Linked DNA regions of Yarrowia lipolytica. The protein of the gene in region 1 interacts with the protein of each later gene in a pairwise test. Links are inferred from orthologs where the notes say so. Each region holds a gene or a part of one and is shown in the gene's direction. Other genes may lie near its edges.

The links.
Region 2: the proteins of YALI1_C13000g (region 1) and YALI1_D27762g interact in binary tests that used the Saccharomyces cerevisiae proteins (3 or more experiments, as listed by UniProt). The link is inferred for Yarrowia lipolytica from reciprocal best matches to the Saccharomyces cerevisiae genes SGT2 and SEC22.
Region 3: the proteins of YALI1_C13000g (region 1) and YALI1_B08616g interact in binary tests that used the Saccharomyces cerevisiae proteins (3 or more experiments, as listed by UniProt). The link is inferred for Yarrowia lipolytica from reciprocal best matches to the Saccharomyces cerevisiae genes SGT2 and FIS1.
Region 4: the proteins of YALI1_C13000g (region 1) and YALI1_B07852g interact in binary tests that used the Saccharomyces cerevisiae proteins (3 or more experiments, as listed by UniProt). The link is inferred for Yarrowia lipolytica from reciprocal best matches to the Saccharomyces cerevisiae genes SGT2 and YBR137W.

What each region holds. Positions count from the first base shown.
Region 1 is NC_090772.1:1,298,036-1,302,369, reverse strand, and holds YALI1_C13000g (uncharacterized protein), read left to right. Parts: upstream 1-2,315; coding exon 2,316-3,350; downstream 3,351-4,334. Other genes in the region: YALI1_C13007g (uncharacterized protein), read right to left, coding at 1,090-1,617. UniProt on the Saccharomyces cerevisiae protein: Co-chaperone that binds to the molecular chaperone Hsp70 (SSA1 and SSA2). Regulates Hsp70 ATPase activity. Required for recovery from heat shock.
Region 2 is NC_090773.1:2,774,648-2,778,761, reverse strand, and holds YALI1_D27762g (uncharacterized protein), read left to right. Parts: upstream 1-2,613; coding exon 2,614-3,255; downstream 3,256-4,114. Other genes in the region: YALI1_D27808g (uncharacterized protein), read left to right, coding at 1-66; YALI1_D27780g (uncharacterized protein), read left to right, coding at 791-1,975; YALI1_D27765g (uncharacterized protein), read right to left, coding at 1,991-2,153, 2,201-2,295; YALI1_D27748g (uncharacterized protein), read left to right, coding at 4,036-4,114. UniProt on the Saccharomyces cerevisiae protein: Nonessential SNARE involved in targeting and fusion of ER-derived transport vesicles with the Golgi complex as well as Golgi-derived retrograde transport vesicles with the ER.
Region 3 is NC_090771.1:860,176-864,219, reverse strand, and holds YALI1_B08616g (uncharacterized protein), read left to right. Parts: upstream 1-2,566; coding exon 2,567-3,058; downstream 3,059-4,044. Other genes in the region: YALI1_B08627g (mitochondrial 37S ribosomal protein uS13m), read right to left, coding at 395-814, 1,455-1,505. UniProt on the Saccharomyces cerevisiae protein: Has a role in mitochondrial fission. Has a role in outer membrane fission but not matrix separation. Required for targeting MDV1 to the mitochondria.
Region 4 is NC_090771.1:783,251-787,371, reverse strand, and holds YALI1_B07852g (uncharacterized protein), read left to right. Parts: upstream 1-2,163; coding exon 2,164-2,670; downstream 2,671-4,121. Other genes in the region: YALI1_B07864g (uncharacterized protein), read right to left, coding at 1-897; YALI1_B07853g (uncharacterized protein), read right to left, coding at 1,610-1,984; YALI1_B07843g (uncharacterized protein), read left to right, coding at 3,069-3,728.

The sequences.
Region 1 (4,334 bases):
ACAAGTCCTAAAAGCATATTCCGACATTTGGGGGTTAGCTTTGTGGGGGCAGCTACAGTACGTACTGCTCATACGACGGTACGAGTAACCTAGACCTGTTTCCCCACTCGATCTAGGCTTTGGTGGAAACGCTGCTCTTGGAAAGTCATGAATGGACCACGTGCCGTGAGCCACCCCTTGGTGCAAATGGGCCTGCCATTCGTCAGCTCGTCCTGGTCTCGTCATCTGTCTGACGGGTTTTTTTTCCACCGCAGCACATTGCTCCAGCGTGTGGCCTGCAACGCTTGCTGCAAGACCGTAGCGACTCCATCAGCCAGGTTTCGGAAGCCCAGTGGGACCACCAGGAGACGCTACAAGTACGGGTGCGAGTAGCTCTCCGCCTTCGTATCACGCTAGCACCACCAGCCGATCATTGGCGCCAGTCAGCCCAAACTCTACGGCAATCTAGGAACGGAAGCCTCGACTCTGGTACAGGAGGTGGAAACGCGCACATCGCTCGCATAAAGTGTCAACCCGCAACCATGTGGAATGTCTTAGATGCGAGCAAGAAACGAGGTGAAACACGGGAGTATTGCAATGACGGGGCAGTTTTTGGCGATGACTGGCGATAACACTTTTGATGTGCACTTTTTTTTCGGATCTAGTGTTGAGCACGTACGAGACAGCTGGAAGAGGCGGCAAAATCAAGGGCGTTGATTTGAGGCTTGTTGGTGTTTATACAATGGATGGTGGTGGTTGTTCTATTTGCTTGTGAAGTCGCTCATATACAAATAGAACACTGAGAGAAAAATGATAATCAACTTTCAGTAACTTTTCAGCAACTTTTTAGCAACTTTTCAGCAACTTTTCAGCAACTTTTCAGCAACTTTTCAGTCACCTCTTCAGTCACCTCTTCAGTCAACTAATCAGCAACTCTTCAGATGAACTTCTGAGACATAACATCTGCTGATTCGATATACTACAAGAGCCCAAATAATGTCTAGTCCGGATGCTAAACTTGATGGCCACTTCCTCTACTGATTTTCTCCACTCAGAAAACACTGTTAGCATTATGTACAGAGACTATTTACAATTCAGAACGACCAACGATCACTCCTTGCCCTCCTCGAGAGCCTTTCGCTTGGCATAGACCTGGTGGGCCAGAGCAGCGTTCTCAAACGACTGCTTTCGGTTATATCGACACATTTCCCACTTGGCCACGGCTCCAATGGTGAATCCGCCAATGGCCCAGTTGGCAGCGCTGAGCGTGGACCGTCGCATCGACAGCATGACTCCCAGAACAGAGCCACCGGTGATGAAGCCCGTGATCATAGCGTCTCGGAAACAGGGGATCTGGGTCACGGTCTTAAAGTCGTTCACGCCGATCTGAGAAACCACATTCGACACCTTGGCCTCGCCCTCGGGAACGGGCTTGGTGATCTTGGGAGGGGGCGGGCGCACAAGCTCGGCCTCCTTCTCCTTGAGCTCCTTGAGCAGAGCCGCCTTCTTGGCCTGGATGTCTTCCAGGTCGAATCGAGGCTTTGTGTCGTCCAACATCTTGCCGTCGGACGTGACCGGAGCGGAAAAGTCCACGGGGCCGTCCTGGTCTTGTGGTTTGTTGCTGTTGAAGGGCCACATGTTGTTTAGGTAAGTGTAGATGTTGCTGAGATCTATACTTGGTCTTGCACTTGTAGATTGAGGTCAAGTCTGCCTGCAGAACACTGCTGCAGAGTCACGTGCAATTTTCCGAATACGGCAGCGGGATATATCCAATTTAGAGTTGCCGTATTCCATCTGTGGCATAAATGCGTATTCCCAAAAGAGTATACGCCCGAGCCCCACGGACGAGTACAACGAGACACTTGGAGGGAGAAGAATCACTATAAGACCGGCCGCGGATGTGGAGCTGAATGTATTCCGGTAGTTCCACCTTGCTTGTACACTTTGGCAGTTCGCCACCGATCTAACATGTCAATTCAATTTGCCCCCTCTCAAAGGTCGCTAACATATTCAAAGTCAGTCCCAACTTGTTCCAGAACCTTCCCCAAGTGAAGGCAAAGTAAAGTGTCAACTAAAGTAAGGGGTCATGGAGGGGGCATTCTGAGGGGTGTGTTGTAACGGCAGAAATAGCCAATTTCTGAAAAATCCGACGGCAGAAATCAACTCAATGTGTCATAAATATCCGTTGTAGCCACTCACTTTGTCTTTTCACTCCCCACAACCCCCTCGATAGCCCTCCATGTTTCTGCCATTCATACTCGCCACGTTGTGAATCTAAACTACACCATCTTAACAGTGCATATGTCTCTCTTGAGTTCCACCACACCACCCACACAATGTCCGACAAGAAAGATCTCGCAGTTGGAATCGTCGATTTCCTCAAAACCTCCGTCTCCGACGGCACCATCCCCGAAGACGACCACGAATCGGTCCAGGTCGCCATTGACTGTCTGGAGGACGTGTTCAAGATTGAGGGTGTTTCCAAGGACTCGGTTCTGGGCAAGCAGACTCTTTTGGACATCTTCAAGAACCGATCCAACTCGGCTTCCACCGCCGGTGCCGACAAGTCCTCCCCTGCACTCGAGGCTGCCGCTGCCAAGATGGCTGCCGCCACTGCGGTTCTGACTGAGGAGCAGAAGACCCAGGCCGACAAGCTCAAGCTGGAGGGCAACAAGGCGCTGTCGCAACGAAACTTCGAAGAGTCCATCGATCTGTACACCCAGGCCATCGACATCGACGCGAACAACGCCGTCTACTACTCCAACCGAGCCGCCGCCTACTCCCAGCTCCAGCTCCACGATAATGCCATTGCCGACGCTGACGCCGCCATTCGAGTTGATCCCAACTACTCCAAGGCCTACTCGCGTCTGGGACTGGCAAAGTACGCCTCCGGTGACGCCCAGGGCGCGCTGGAGGCCTACGAGATGGGCATGAAGGTCGAGGGCGACAATGTCTCCGACGCCATGAAGCGGGGCTACGAGACCGCCAAGAAGCGAGTCGATGAGGAGGCCGTCGCCACCCGGGACGCCCCCGCTGAGGGTGGAGCCGCTGGAGGAGCTGGAGGAGCTCCCGCTGGTTTCCCCGATCTCGGAGCTCTCGGTTCCATGTTTGGCGGTGGTGCTGGAGGCGGAATGCCCGATCTGGCTGGTCTCATGAACAACCCCGCCGTGGCCCAGATGGCCCAGAAGTTCATGTCCGACCCCAATGCGCTCAACAACCTGATGAGCAACCCTGCTGTGGCTAACATGGCTCAGCGAATGCAGGGCGGCAACATGCCCTCCATGAGTGAGATGATGAACGACCCTGCTTTGCGAGAGATGGCCAGCAAGTTTGGCGGCGCTGGAGGTGCTGGAGGTGCTGGAGGACAGTAAGGGGACTGTGCGGTGGAGCGCTTCTCATGTGGTGCTGTGTCTTAGAAAGATTGATGTATTAAACAGATTTGTGTTTTGATTGGAGCCATGAGGGGAAGATCAAGTTGGACCGTCCTCCTGGAGTGTCATTCTGAGTCGATCATACGAATCATACTGTAGAGAGATGTGAGCGATCGGTGCGGGCTGGAGAATGCATTCGGGATGAGTACGGTTGCATTCGTCTTTACTAGTCAACCCCGAACGTCACGTAGCTGAACGATGAGATGGTGAACAAGCGATGGTGGTGATGGTGGTGATGGTGGTGATGGTGGTGATGGTGAAGAGGCGTTGAGTAGTCAGTTTTTATATATTGTACATACTACCCCCAACAGCTTCCTTCCATCCTCACGAATAGCAATACTCATCCATACACTTTCGACACACCTCCGGCACCGTTTTGTTCTGTCTCTGGAACTCTCTCAGAACTACGGAACAGCCGATACACTGGGCCCATTCAGTGGAATTGCTCATGGTAGCAATATCGAATCCGGTTTGGACAATTCCATCGATATCCTCCTTGGAGTAGTCTAGTTTCATGGTCTTGACTAGGGAGTTGTAGGAGACCTCAAGATTGGGGATTTCGACAAAAAGTGGCACGTATCTATTTGATTCTGGAATCTTCCTCATCTTTGTCACGTCGCAGCCCATCCACAGCGGTTTTTCAAGGTACTTGGCCTGGTACTCATGTGGGGAAGGAACTAGCGGAAACACTCCTTCACCCATCTCCTCGGAGACTTTGTTGGCTAGATTTGTAAGCGTTTTGCCATCGGGAGTGTTATTGGGAGGCGCTCCGTCAGCATCGAGACAGAAAAACATGTCCACCTTTCTAGACGGGTGGACCATGGGCCATAGTGGAAGACCCATCCCCGAGTAAGCGCCATCTGCTCCGTATAGCGCCATGCCGTTGTAGGGCGCTTCAACGTCACTCAAGCCCTTGAAGGGGTT
Region 2 (4,114 bases), on another chromosome or scaffold:
GTGCCGTGGTTCATTTTCAAATGGGGGCCTGGCCTGCGAGCGAGATCTGCTTTTGTTGACGTTTAGTGTCCAGCTAAGTAGATGTCAAGTGTAAGACGAAGACTGGTCAGAAAGAGACAGACGTTCTAACAAAACCCAACAAAAAACAACAAACATTAATCAACTGTGAAAATCCGCATAGAAACCAGCATAATCAACATAAAACATATAGCCCCAAATCAAATCAAATAGAATACTACTAGTAATACACTGTGAATTGTATTCTGGCTTGTAATATTACAAGAGAGAATAAATATACACCACTACGGTGTATATCAGTGAAGCAACATGTCTGAATAACTACGAGTAGTAGCACTGGTGGCTTGCATGGTGCTTGGATATCTAGATGGCCCTACGACACCAATTGTGCTTCCAGAGGACCGAAACTCCGGAAATCAATTGCAAAGAATCCTATAAACATTGTGCAAAAATCTGATGAAAAAAAAGTTCCTCTAAGCTGGTCGGTCCTCATCCCTCTTTCTCACCCCACGCCATCTGCATGCAGAGTAAATAGTGCAGAACCTCCGAAACACATCACACCATTCATCTCGCTCAATATTCCACCGATACGAATAAAAATTACACCATTAGAATTCTCAGAGATCCACCATGACATTGATACCCCCATACAAGTCATTACTCTGTTAATCACCCCCACACAGTCCGTCGTCTCTCGCAACTCTATCCCCATCTAACTCTTGACATCTCTTCATCTCCTAGCACCTTCCGAAGGCTTCAGCACCACCACACCATGAAGCGTGCTTTCGGTAGATTGAGCCCCCCTCTGCGTCATCTGACACAACCCCGCACCATGGCCACCACCGCGCGAACCACCACGCCTCTCAATCTCCAGATCGGCTGTTTGCAGCTCAAGCCCGAGATCGGGGAAGTCGACAAGAACATGGGAGTGGCCAACGAGCTCATCGACCGGTACTACGCCACTGCCAAGAAGGACGATAAGACCCCCAAGATTGATATCTTGATGCTCCCCGAAATGTCATTCACAGGTTACAACTTCGAGAGCCCCGAGAACCTCAAGCCATTCCGAGAAGAAACGGAGTCGTCCAAGTCGATCGAATGGGCTAGAGAGTGCGCCAAGAAGATCGACGGCCACGTGCTGGTCGGATACCCCGAGTTTAGCCCTCAAGACGATGCGACCTACAACTCTGTGTCCATGGTGTCTCCCAAGGGTGATATCCTCTTCACCTACCGAAAGTCGTTCCTGTACACCGCCGACGAGGCAATGGGCATGAGCGAGTCTCCCGACGGCTTCCAGACATACGGACCCTTCCCTTCTCTGTCTCAGGACATCCCTCTCAAGTTCCAGGTGGGAATTTGCATGGATATCAACCCCTACAAGTTTGAGTCTGCTCCTTCGGAGTACGAGTTTGGCAATTCAGTCAAGAAGAACAAGGTGCCTCTGGTGCTGCTCCCAATGGCCTGGACTCACTCCAAGTCTCCCTCCCTAGTGCCTGTCAAGTCCTCCGACAAGATCCCTATGACTGAGGAGCAGGAGAAGACCCACAGCGAGCTCCGAAACGCCATTGTGCATAAGTGCACCATGCTGCACGGCAAGTCCACCTTTGATGGACTCATCACCGAGCCCAAGGAGATCCCCAAGTACAAGAACGAGGATCTGGCCACTTTCCACGACTACACTGCCGATGTCGACAACAAACTGCCTTTGGTGGACACCCTGCAGTACTGGATCGAGCGTCTGCAGCCCGTGTGGAACCAGAACACGGACGTGGACTTCCCGGTGACCATGGTGACTGCCAACAGAGTTGGATTCGAGCAGGGAGACGTCCTGTACGCTGGCTCGTCCATGTGCGCGGTTATGGATCCTCTTCAGCAGAAGATTTTTCTGCGGGGAGCTCTCTCAGCCGCTGATGAGGGTCTCATGGTGTTCAATGTTGATTTGAGCGTTCCCAACTAACAGCCTTAATGACTGTCAGTGAGTGAGATGTGTGTTCAGGATGTGTTGCAACAACACACCATCTATGTATATATGATATTTTTTTGTTTCAAAGACGTGTAGCCGGGTGGCTTGGCTCTTTGCATATATTTTCTCCTCTTTTCCAGCAGTTTTTATTCTGAATCGACTTTTGACGTTGCTCAAAGAGCTAACATTCCTCAGAGGAATTCACATTCATACTGTGACTCAACTCTATACAAGCTACTGGAAACTAAAGAGATGATGTCGAAAAAACCTGTTGAAAGTGGATTTACGACATATAGGAGAATTGATATGGTCATCTAGACACTCTATAAGCCCTTCAATCCAACAGAAACTCACTCACACACACTCTCTCTCTCTCCGAGGTCAATAGGCCAATATGACAGGTGACGAGCTAAAAACGCAACAGTCGCGAATATTGCTGCGATCGAAAAACAAACAACACCATTCGACTCACCAAAACCGCGCGAGAATTTCCATATCGACAATTGTTTCCTTGCTAGCTGCCCAGATACACGTATTATCCCACCACCGGTTTGCCCCACCAACCTAAATCCTAACACGTACGCATCAGCAGCAGTACACGCTAGACTCAACCACATCACTATACACACAAAATGGTGCTCTCTACTCTGATTATGCGGGCCTCGGATGGCCTGCCTCTGTCGGCCAGCGTGGATGACGGCCAGGAGAACCTCAGCGAGCAGAAGAAGCAGTGCAAGCTCGTGACCCAGAAGCTGTCTGCCAACTCGGCCGACCGAGCCTCGATTGAAAGTGGCAACTACGTGATCCACTATCTGATGAAGGACGGAATCGTTTACTACTGCATCTCCGAGTCTTCGTACCCCCGCAAACTCGCCTTCAGCTACCTAGACGAGCTGGATCGGGAGTTCCAAAAGTCCCATGGCCAGGAGGCTCTCAAGGAGGGGGTGCGACCCTACAAGTTTGTGGAGTTCGACACGTTCATGCAGAAGACCAAGCGGGTGTACCAGGACACTCGAGCAACCCACAACCTCGACAAGCTCAACACGGAGCTGCAGGACGTGACTCGAGTCATGACCAAGAACATTGAGGATCTGCTGCACCGAGGCCACTCGCTGGATCACATGAGCGATCTTAGCAGCAACCTGCGGACCGAGAGCAAAAAGTACCGACGGGCTGCCCAGCGGATCAATTGGGAGGCCATGATCCGACAGTACATTCCCTTCATTGGAGTGGGTCTCATTGGTCTGTTTATGCTGTGGTGGATGCTCTTTTAAACAGGGGGACGCAGATGAGTCAATCATTTGGAAGATGGATGCCATCGACGACAGCCACGCCCGGGCTGAGAAGCTGTACTGAGGCTGTCTCAGCTCGCTGTGAACGGCTCGCTGAACGGGATATTGCTGGAGAAGCTGGATTTATACGATAGTAATATATTGATTGGGTGAGTTGCTACTGGAATGATTGGGAAAGCAGTACATACTATTAACCTGAAAGCAGTACATACTATTAACCTGTCCTTGCATGTCTCAAGAGTACTGGAGCTAGTTAGCTTCTGTTTTTTTAGAAGTATACCAAGGCTTGAAAAGCGCGAGTGTCGCTCGAATGTACTGTGTGAGTACAGAAGCTGCAAGATACAATGATTGGCGTGTATCAACTTGTTTGATTCTGTAATCCTTCCACTATTATCAAGGTCTTTTCATTACTAACCAAGTACAGTATATACATTGCAATTACTGTATCGTACCTCTACTGTAACCCATCTTACTTCCATATAGCCACTTGCTCAAACTCGTTGATTTTTCTGCCGATCGCGTTCAATGTCAATATATCATCTCTTCAAGGGATATATTACCATCCGTCACGCAATCTCTCCACTCCATTCAACGGACTCCTTGGTATGCCCGCTGTCTTAATTAACTCACACCAAATACCCCAACCCCAACTCGAACACACGCCTTCCTGATTTCAAACCCTAATGTGAAATTTGAGTGTGTGGTGCTCAGCGAGGTTCTCACACATACCACAACTTTTTTCACACATTTACACGACTAAAGATGCTAGCAGTCAGCCGAGCCAGCGGATTCCGAGCAGCCCGAGTGGTTCCTGTCCACGTGACCCGACAGCAGGTACGAC
Region 3 (4,044 bases), on another chromosome or scaffold:
AAAAAAAAAAAAAAAAAAAGCAAAAAACAGCAAAAAAAAAGCAAGGCGATGACAAGAATCGTGGAAAAACACAAACTGTGGTTGGACTAGTAGAGAAAAGCGAGGCAGGTGGTTTCAAAAACACGTCGTATGATTTTTTATTGGTGTTACACCCTTGTTTGTTAGTTGCGACAAACTTATGTTTAATTACTTGACATTTGGAGATTTAGTACTTGAGTCTAGTTAACATTTTAGTTGGGAGTCTACAGTAGTTTACACTTTTGTTGGATTGACATACGACAAACCTGTAACTTGACATCGCCTCGTAGACGACTATCTGACGGTGCCACCAGTGTGGAACTTTGTCGCTTGCGTTCAAACATTTCATTTTTTAACCTCGGTCAGACTATATACATTACCAAAACTTGGATAGGAATCCCATGATGCCCTTGGCCTCGGCTCCAGGGGCAGCCTTGTACTCGTTGGCCAGTGAGCCGAGAGCTTCGGAAACGGAGCCAAAGTGTCGTCGGGGCACTCGGTTGAACCGTCGGGCGTTCTTTCCGTTGGTTCGAGTCTTCTGGCCCTTGACGGGCATACCCATGACGTGTCGTCGACCGACGTACGAGCCGGTCTTTCGCTTTCGCTCAATGTCGGCGTTGATCTTCTTGGCCAGGTCGGACTCGATGGTCACATTGGTTGACAGCTCCTTGACAATTGCCATGATGTCGCCCTGGGTGAGCTCGCCCATTCGCATGCCAGGATACAGGCCAATCTTGGCACATAGCCGCTTGGCCTGGAACGGACCCACGCCGAACACTTGCTGAGACAGTCCGTACTGAGTTAGTATGTCACGAGGCAGGGGAGAATAGAGCAAAACTGAAGAAAGCAGGTGGAATCCGCCACTCGGGAAGGATGGTGGGTGTCGACATGTAAGGTGTAAGATCTGATGCTTTTGGTTGGAAAAATCAGTGTTCATCGGTCTTAACCTGCGCTGAATACCAGATCTTAGATGTAGATAGGCCGTCTATCCACTCTTTTTCGTCCATGTACGTATCCTGGGTACACGTTATTTGTTGGTTGATGGTATCACTCTCTTTTGGGCCAAAAGTCTCGAAAACAAGACTAAACGACAGTTTGAGTCTCGGAACACCTTGTAAACCGTCCTCAATTGTCAATACTGCCGTTTGCACAAGCCCGTGTCACGTACATGTCGGATGTGTGACGTTCATATCATCACACCAGTTCTTCTCTCTCACCTACTTGCGAAAGCTGAAAGTCGGTAAATCACTTGTCGCCGCCGAAACCCCATCATTAGTCACTCTCCCGTCCTTCTCCCATCCGCCTAAGCTCTTATCAGCTCAACATGTCCACATGACAAAATCTCACAGTTTGATCCATCGCGTTCTCGGTCATTTGTGGCTCCATCTTTTCCGAACAAGTCATCACCCGCTCCATGTCACCCGTGAAATACTCACAGAAACCTTCCAGGTGTTCTGGAACCGCTTTCCCATAATATGAACCACCATTTTTGCTGTATGTGTGTTTGGTGATGTGTGTGAAATTTGCGCTTAGTCAGGACCTCCCACAAGAACAAACCCTATCCCAGACTTTTGATATAGTACAGGTTCTGCATCCGCCCTAACCCTACCCTAACCCTGAGATGTAGGAAGTGGGGAGGGAAATACCGCCGTTTGAACGCGGTTTTTGTGTTCATCAGAACGCTCAACACACGTGCTCTCTGGTCACTCTGCCGGGAAGCGGTATTGCGGTTTTTAAAAAACAGCACTCTCATTGGCCAACAACGATAAGGTTGCACATATCGAAATAAGGTTTTATGCTAACTCCGTGATGACTAAGCTCGTTAGCGCCACGGGGGCGGATAATGCCTGGTCCCTAGTCTAGTGATATCGACCTGCGACCGAGTTATCAAACATTCTGAAGGCTCTTTGTGTGCCGGTTTTGTGACTCCGTTTAATTTTCGTTAAAGTTCGCTCACGTGACTCGCCACTGCAGCAACCCTACATATTCGATCCCGCACACATGTACTATCCGCCATACACAACCATGAAGAAGGAGGACTATTTGCCCAGTGAGTATTGATGGAGAGCCGGGTTAGGGAATTGAGGCGAGGGGAGGGTGTTTGAGGGGTTAGGGTGACAAGCGATTTGGAACGACAACTGAGACGACAGCTGAAACGACAGCTGAGATGAGTCCTGAGATACCCATGTTTGCGCCGATTGGTGGGTGAAAGTGATGGAGTGGAGCGGTTGGTTGGACTTGTCTATGACGTGTTGGTTCCAAATTTTGAGTGGTCAATTTAGTTGTTTTCAAGGATATTCTCTGAGGCAGTGGAGGCGGCGTGGCGGAGGTTCATATAGTATTCGGTGTTGATTCAATCAGTGTTGACTTTACATTGGTGCTGGTTGAATCGGCGCTGCCTACAGTGGTCCTCTACAAACCATGGCCAAAGACGCAACTGAGACCGTCGATACGTTACTGCACTTTCTACATCTCATTGATACCAGTTTTTAGAACTCCTTACCTGCTTGCTCTACTCCGTTGGATCTACCTCCAACAACCCTGTCACATGACACCTACCCCCAACTCCCCGGACTGCAGCCACTTCCGTTCTAACACAGACCTCGTCGATATCGAGTCTCCGCTCTCGGACGAAGAGCTCTACGTTCTTTCTCAACAGTACAACAACGAGGGCGACTTTGTCTCGGTGCAGACCCGCTTCAACTATGCCTGGGGTCTGATCAAGTCTCGAAAGGTCGAGGACCAGCAGCTGGGAGTGCAGATCCTGGCCCAGGTGTACAAGGACACGCCCTCTCGACGTCGAGAGTGCCTCTACTACCTTGCCATCGGCTCCTACAAGCTTGGCGAATACACAGATGCTCGGAAATACTGCGACCTGTTGCTGCAGATCGAGCCCGATGACCCCCAGAGCGCCAAGCTGCGTCAGATCATCGAGGACAAGCTGGCCAAGGAGGGCATGATTGGAATTGCTATTGTGGGAGGAGTCATTGCGGTGGGAGCTGCTGTTCTGGGCGCCGTGTTGAGCCAGAAAAAACGGTGAGATGGACCGTGAGTGTGACAAATCATTTTTTTCACAGAAAGTGGGTCACATGTTACGCTCACGTAAAGCACTGATGATCACAATGCTCCGTGCTAAAATATGTACAGAACGCTACAGCCCACTCACGTGATGGTAATATATGAGTTATAGATAGACCAGCTACTTGTAGCCATCGTTGAGTGGAAGGGACTTGAAGAGGTGAACGTGCAAGTCTACGAGGCAGTGCCGGAGCAATGGAAAGCACGCACGCAACATTCGGCTCCAGTAGGTCGATGTAGAGATGACACTGAGGTCATGGAATGAAACATTGTCTTCGAGAGAAGAAAAAGCGGAAGTCAGACACTTGGAGTCTCCGTTCAGGTTGACGATATGGAATCCTAGGCTGTGGTGGAGGCATCTGATGATGACCAGACTGTCGTTCATCGCCCCTGATCCAGAAGAACCAAATCCCCAGACAGTCAACCATCAAATGGCGGATGTTGAGGTATCTTGGTCCGAGTCATGACTGAAGCTAGCTATTATCTGAGCCAGGAACTTTTCAACAGCTGGATCAGTATAGAATACCAGTAGATGGCGATGAGAGTGATGCCGTATGATAGAAGGGTGACAGTCGCCGGCACTAACTAGGAAAGACTTCAGGATCCGAGAATATGTATAGATGAGCAGTACTCAGGTTGAACTTTGGTCTTGTTGAATCCAACGACAATTTGTGGGATTATTGACAAGATGATTAAGAAAAGAGGTCCTTCAACAGGGACTCAACAGTGTTTACTGGCCTTGTGGAGATGGGACGTCATCAGGACAAGAGTAGTTGAACCGGATGTATTGTATGTACTGTACATACTGCACTTACTGTAGCAATGGCAGTAAAGGTCTGGCCTAAGGTCTACAAGGACATAGCAGCGATGCTATACACGATATTCACGGGATTCTTCTGCTAGGCTTTCATCTCTACACTATCCCTGCTAGGAGTTATGGTAGGGTGA
Region 4 (4,121 bases), on another chromosome or scaffold:
TGTTCGGATGAGATCGAGAGGAGCCACAAGGAGAGAGGTGATCACTGAAGCGCTGACGGCTACAACGATAGAGGTGATGGGAGTAGGGGAGTGAGCGACCTCTTCCAGAAACAGAGGGTCCGGAGAGTTAGAAATGGAGCTGAAGAATCCAGAAAACCATGCCTCCAGAGTCATTGTAAGAGCTCCAAGCAGGAAGGAGGCGTTGAGAGCTCTCCATGGTCCCCGAACTCCGTCAACCTCGTTGAGAGCCAGCAGAATGTCCCAGTTGCGTGTAGTTCGGGCCTGTAGCTGGCTATGGTAGTTCTTGAGGAACTTCTTGAGTCGCTTCTTCTGGTCAGGTAGAGGGTCTGAATCCAGTACAATAGGGGAGTCGCCTCCGTGACTATGATTTCGGCTGTGGGTTCGAGGACTCAAGTCTCCCAGCGTTTCTCTATGGTTGCTTTCGAAATAGTCAATCTCTTCGTCCTCCTCTCGCTCCTCTTCCTCCTCAAGAGCCACTTCAATAATGTGGTCCTCGACCTCGGCCGCGCTCTCCACTCGTTGCAAATGACTCCAGTCTCCTACCTGCAGCAGTAGCTTGCTGACCTCCCAGGGCTGACTCAGAAAGGTCTTGCCGTAGAGCTGGAACAGCGAATGCATGGCATTTCGAACCGACTCGGACGTTCCGGTAATGTCGTAGTCAATCTCAATGCCATCAAACAGATCGCCGAAGTTGTGGTTGCCCACATTGCGGGTCAGTCGGCTGCTGTTGCCACCTTCAAAATGTGTGTAGGACCCAGAGGTAGTGGCTCCGCCAGGTGCGTCGGAGAAGTTGGGGAACTGTCGCTTGGTGTACAGCGTGCCTGTTCCAAACGTATCGGCGTTGTAATAGGGCCGTAATGTGTTGTCGGTCGCCATGGTGGTGGTGATGATAGCGATAGAATAGTACGATTAATCTCAGCTTGCCATATGCACAATTTTAGTTTAAATGGGACAACAGAGTTGGGCCAGAATCCCTGTGCTGGAGGTTGCTGGGACAGCTCGAGTACCAGCACTTGTAGCAAGTGGGTTGGTGATGGCGGGGCTGGTTTGTGGCCCGGATTTTGGGGTCTGGGTCTTCTTTTAATACTTTTTTTCTTACAACTCGCTGTTTGCTTATATAAGCAGATATGATGATCAAGGCCGCGAGGTATATAAAAATAAAAATAAAAATAAAATAAAAATAAAAAATGGAGACTTTCAAGGAAGAACGAGGGAATAATACGTTAAATATACCTCTATTGGAGGATATTTGTATAATACAAGTACAAATACATCAGGTCAGTTTGAAGTCACGTGATGACATTAGCGGTTTGTCGTATCATCATCCCATATAACCAGCATAACCAGCTTACAAGTACAAATCGTACAAGCACTACAAGTAGTACTCTTACTAATGTGTCTTTCTCAGATCACTGACATTTGCCAATCTATACTCTTCAAACAAAACAAATACCAATATCATTATAATTTACATGATGGCAGAAACAAGCCTCGTAGTTACCATTCGCGCCCTTCATTCTACCAATCCATGGCCAATGCACCTTACACGCGATGGTGCACTGTCTCGATACCCTCCTATGCAATGCAATCACTTCTTGTAGTTGATGAGGAACTCCCCCAGAGCCCGGACGGGGTCCTCAGGCTTGTCCTTGGCAATCTGTCGCATGCCAGCCAGCAGGGCGGGACTCACCTCCTTATTGAGCCACAGTCGCGTAGGAGCGCCGTAGTTTTCGGCAGGGTTTGGGAGCGAGGCAGTGGAAGCCGTCTCCTGCTTGATTGGCTCCGCCGCGGGTGTGGATGTGGAAGTTGGTGGGGTAGCCACCGCTGAGGGAGTGTGTGTAGATGATATTTCAGACACGGAAGCAGCAGGGATGGCAGGCTCGGGACCAGGCTCTGTCTTGGCCACAGCAGTCTCCGGAGCCGCAGCTGCAGGAAAGGCGTCAGTCATGGGTGTATCAGCCATTTTCTTGTCTGTATTCGATGCGGGAAGGGATTGTGGAGTCGTCTTTTTGATTCTGGCGATGTCAGCGCACTGTCTTAATAACGAACCTTAATCCCAAACTCTATCCCCCACACGTTATTCGGCTCGAACTAATTAATCCGAAAGCACCTTCTCCACTCCCCTTCACTTCACTCCCCTAAATGGCCACACCACTCCCCTTTGATCTTCCGCTGGAAAAAATTGACGAGCAGGAAGGCGAATGCATTCTCATGGGCTTCAACGCCGACTACGCGTTCGAGCTGGGCTCCCAGATCCGAGAACGCGCCAAGAAGGCAGGCAAGTGCATTCTGATCGATATTACCACCGTCACCGGTCTCACCTGGTTCCGGGCCGCTTCCGGACTGGGAACCAACATTGATAACCAGCACTGGGTGTCCCGAAAGCGAAACGCTGTTATTCGATTCGGTCGAAGCAGTTTCTTTCTGGGATGCAACATGAGACAGAAGGGCCGAACTCTGCAGGAGGCCTACGGAGTCAGTGACACTGAGTATGCTGCTCACGGAGGAGGATTCCCCATTCGCGTCAACGGAATCGAGGGCCCCGTCGCTGTTGTCACTGTCAGTGGTCTCCCTCAGGTTGAAGACCATACTCTTGTCTACCAGTGTCTCCGTGACTTTGCTGCCCAGCAACGAAAGGAACTGTCCTAACTAATTTAAGACTTTTGAGATGTTGATATTTCCCATTGCTAAGTACATCTTACACACGCGTTTTCGGGCGGCATCTAAGCGCTGGACTCCCCAATTACTTTTCGGAGACGGAGCGAGTGACGTGGAACGTGATTATATAATGGACTAAAATGGTGTTGCAGCTTCAATTTGATCTATAAGGAGGTGAAGGTGCATTGAGTAAGTACACCAGATCATCTCTGTCTCTACCATTAGCCCATACTTGTACTCGTACTCGTACTTGTACATAATCTCTACATGTGAAGGTCTCAGTCTCCCCCAACAAATTAAGGTTGGCTGCGGATATTCCCATTATTGCAGCCGTGGCATGAGGTAGCACCAGTATCATACTCCACAACAACTTTTCTCGCACAAACACAATGGATCCTTTTGTACAAGTCTGCGCGGATGCGCAAAACCAGCTGACGCAGACGCGAGACCTGCTGGAGCAGTTCCGGTCGGACCCTTCAAACCACAATACCCTTCAGGATCTCACAAACATCACAGAGGAGCTGGCAGAGACGATATCCGACCTTTCACAGTCCGTCGAGGCCGCCCAGGGCCGACCACAGCAGTTTGGTCTCAGCAGCGAAGATATCCAGGACCGTAGCAAGCAGGTTGCTCAACTCATGTCGCAGCTGGGTCAGGTACAGAAGGAGGTGAGCAAGATTCGGAACACAGGCACGCCACATGGCATCTACTCCGATGAGCCAGACGACACGGAGGCCCGAACTGCAGGGCTCACCCAGCAGATGTATGCAAGCCAGATCGAGGAGCAGGACAACGCTCTTGATGGCGTCTACAACACGGTGAACTCGTTGCGGGAACAGGCCAACGTCATGTCGCGGGAGCTGGAGGACCAGTCGTATCTCATTGATGACCTAGATCGTCACGCCGACTCGGCTGGCTCTCGGTTACAGCGTGGTCTTAAGAAAGTGGATTGGGTGGTGCGAAAGAACCAAGAGACTCTGGGTTCATGCTGCATCACTCTGTTGATTGTGGCCCTAATCATTCTGCTTGTTCTGCTCATTGCTCTGTAAGGGCGTTGTAACGTCAATAGCTTAACAGATAACGATTTACGATTGAACTAAGTAAGGGTACCACGCACATCAGTTTAGTGGTTCTTCTCCTCCCGAAGATATCCACTCTGGGGGGAGGGTTTATGAAAGAACACTCGCATTGGAGCTTGGGGCACAACTCGCAGAGTCAGTGTCGTGAGGAGAAACGGCTACGACGAGCTATTATATTTCCACTTCAATTCCCTTTCGGAACCACTGTCCGTGTTTCCGTCTCCATTTCTCCTATTTATTCCTCCCCTCTATGTGCTTCTGCACGTTGTGTGGGTATAAACCACATTTAGCCATAATATTGAGGTTCCCCCTTACTCATATAGACATACAGGAGATTGATTGACTGTGATAATAATTGTTTGT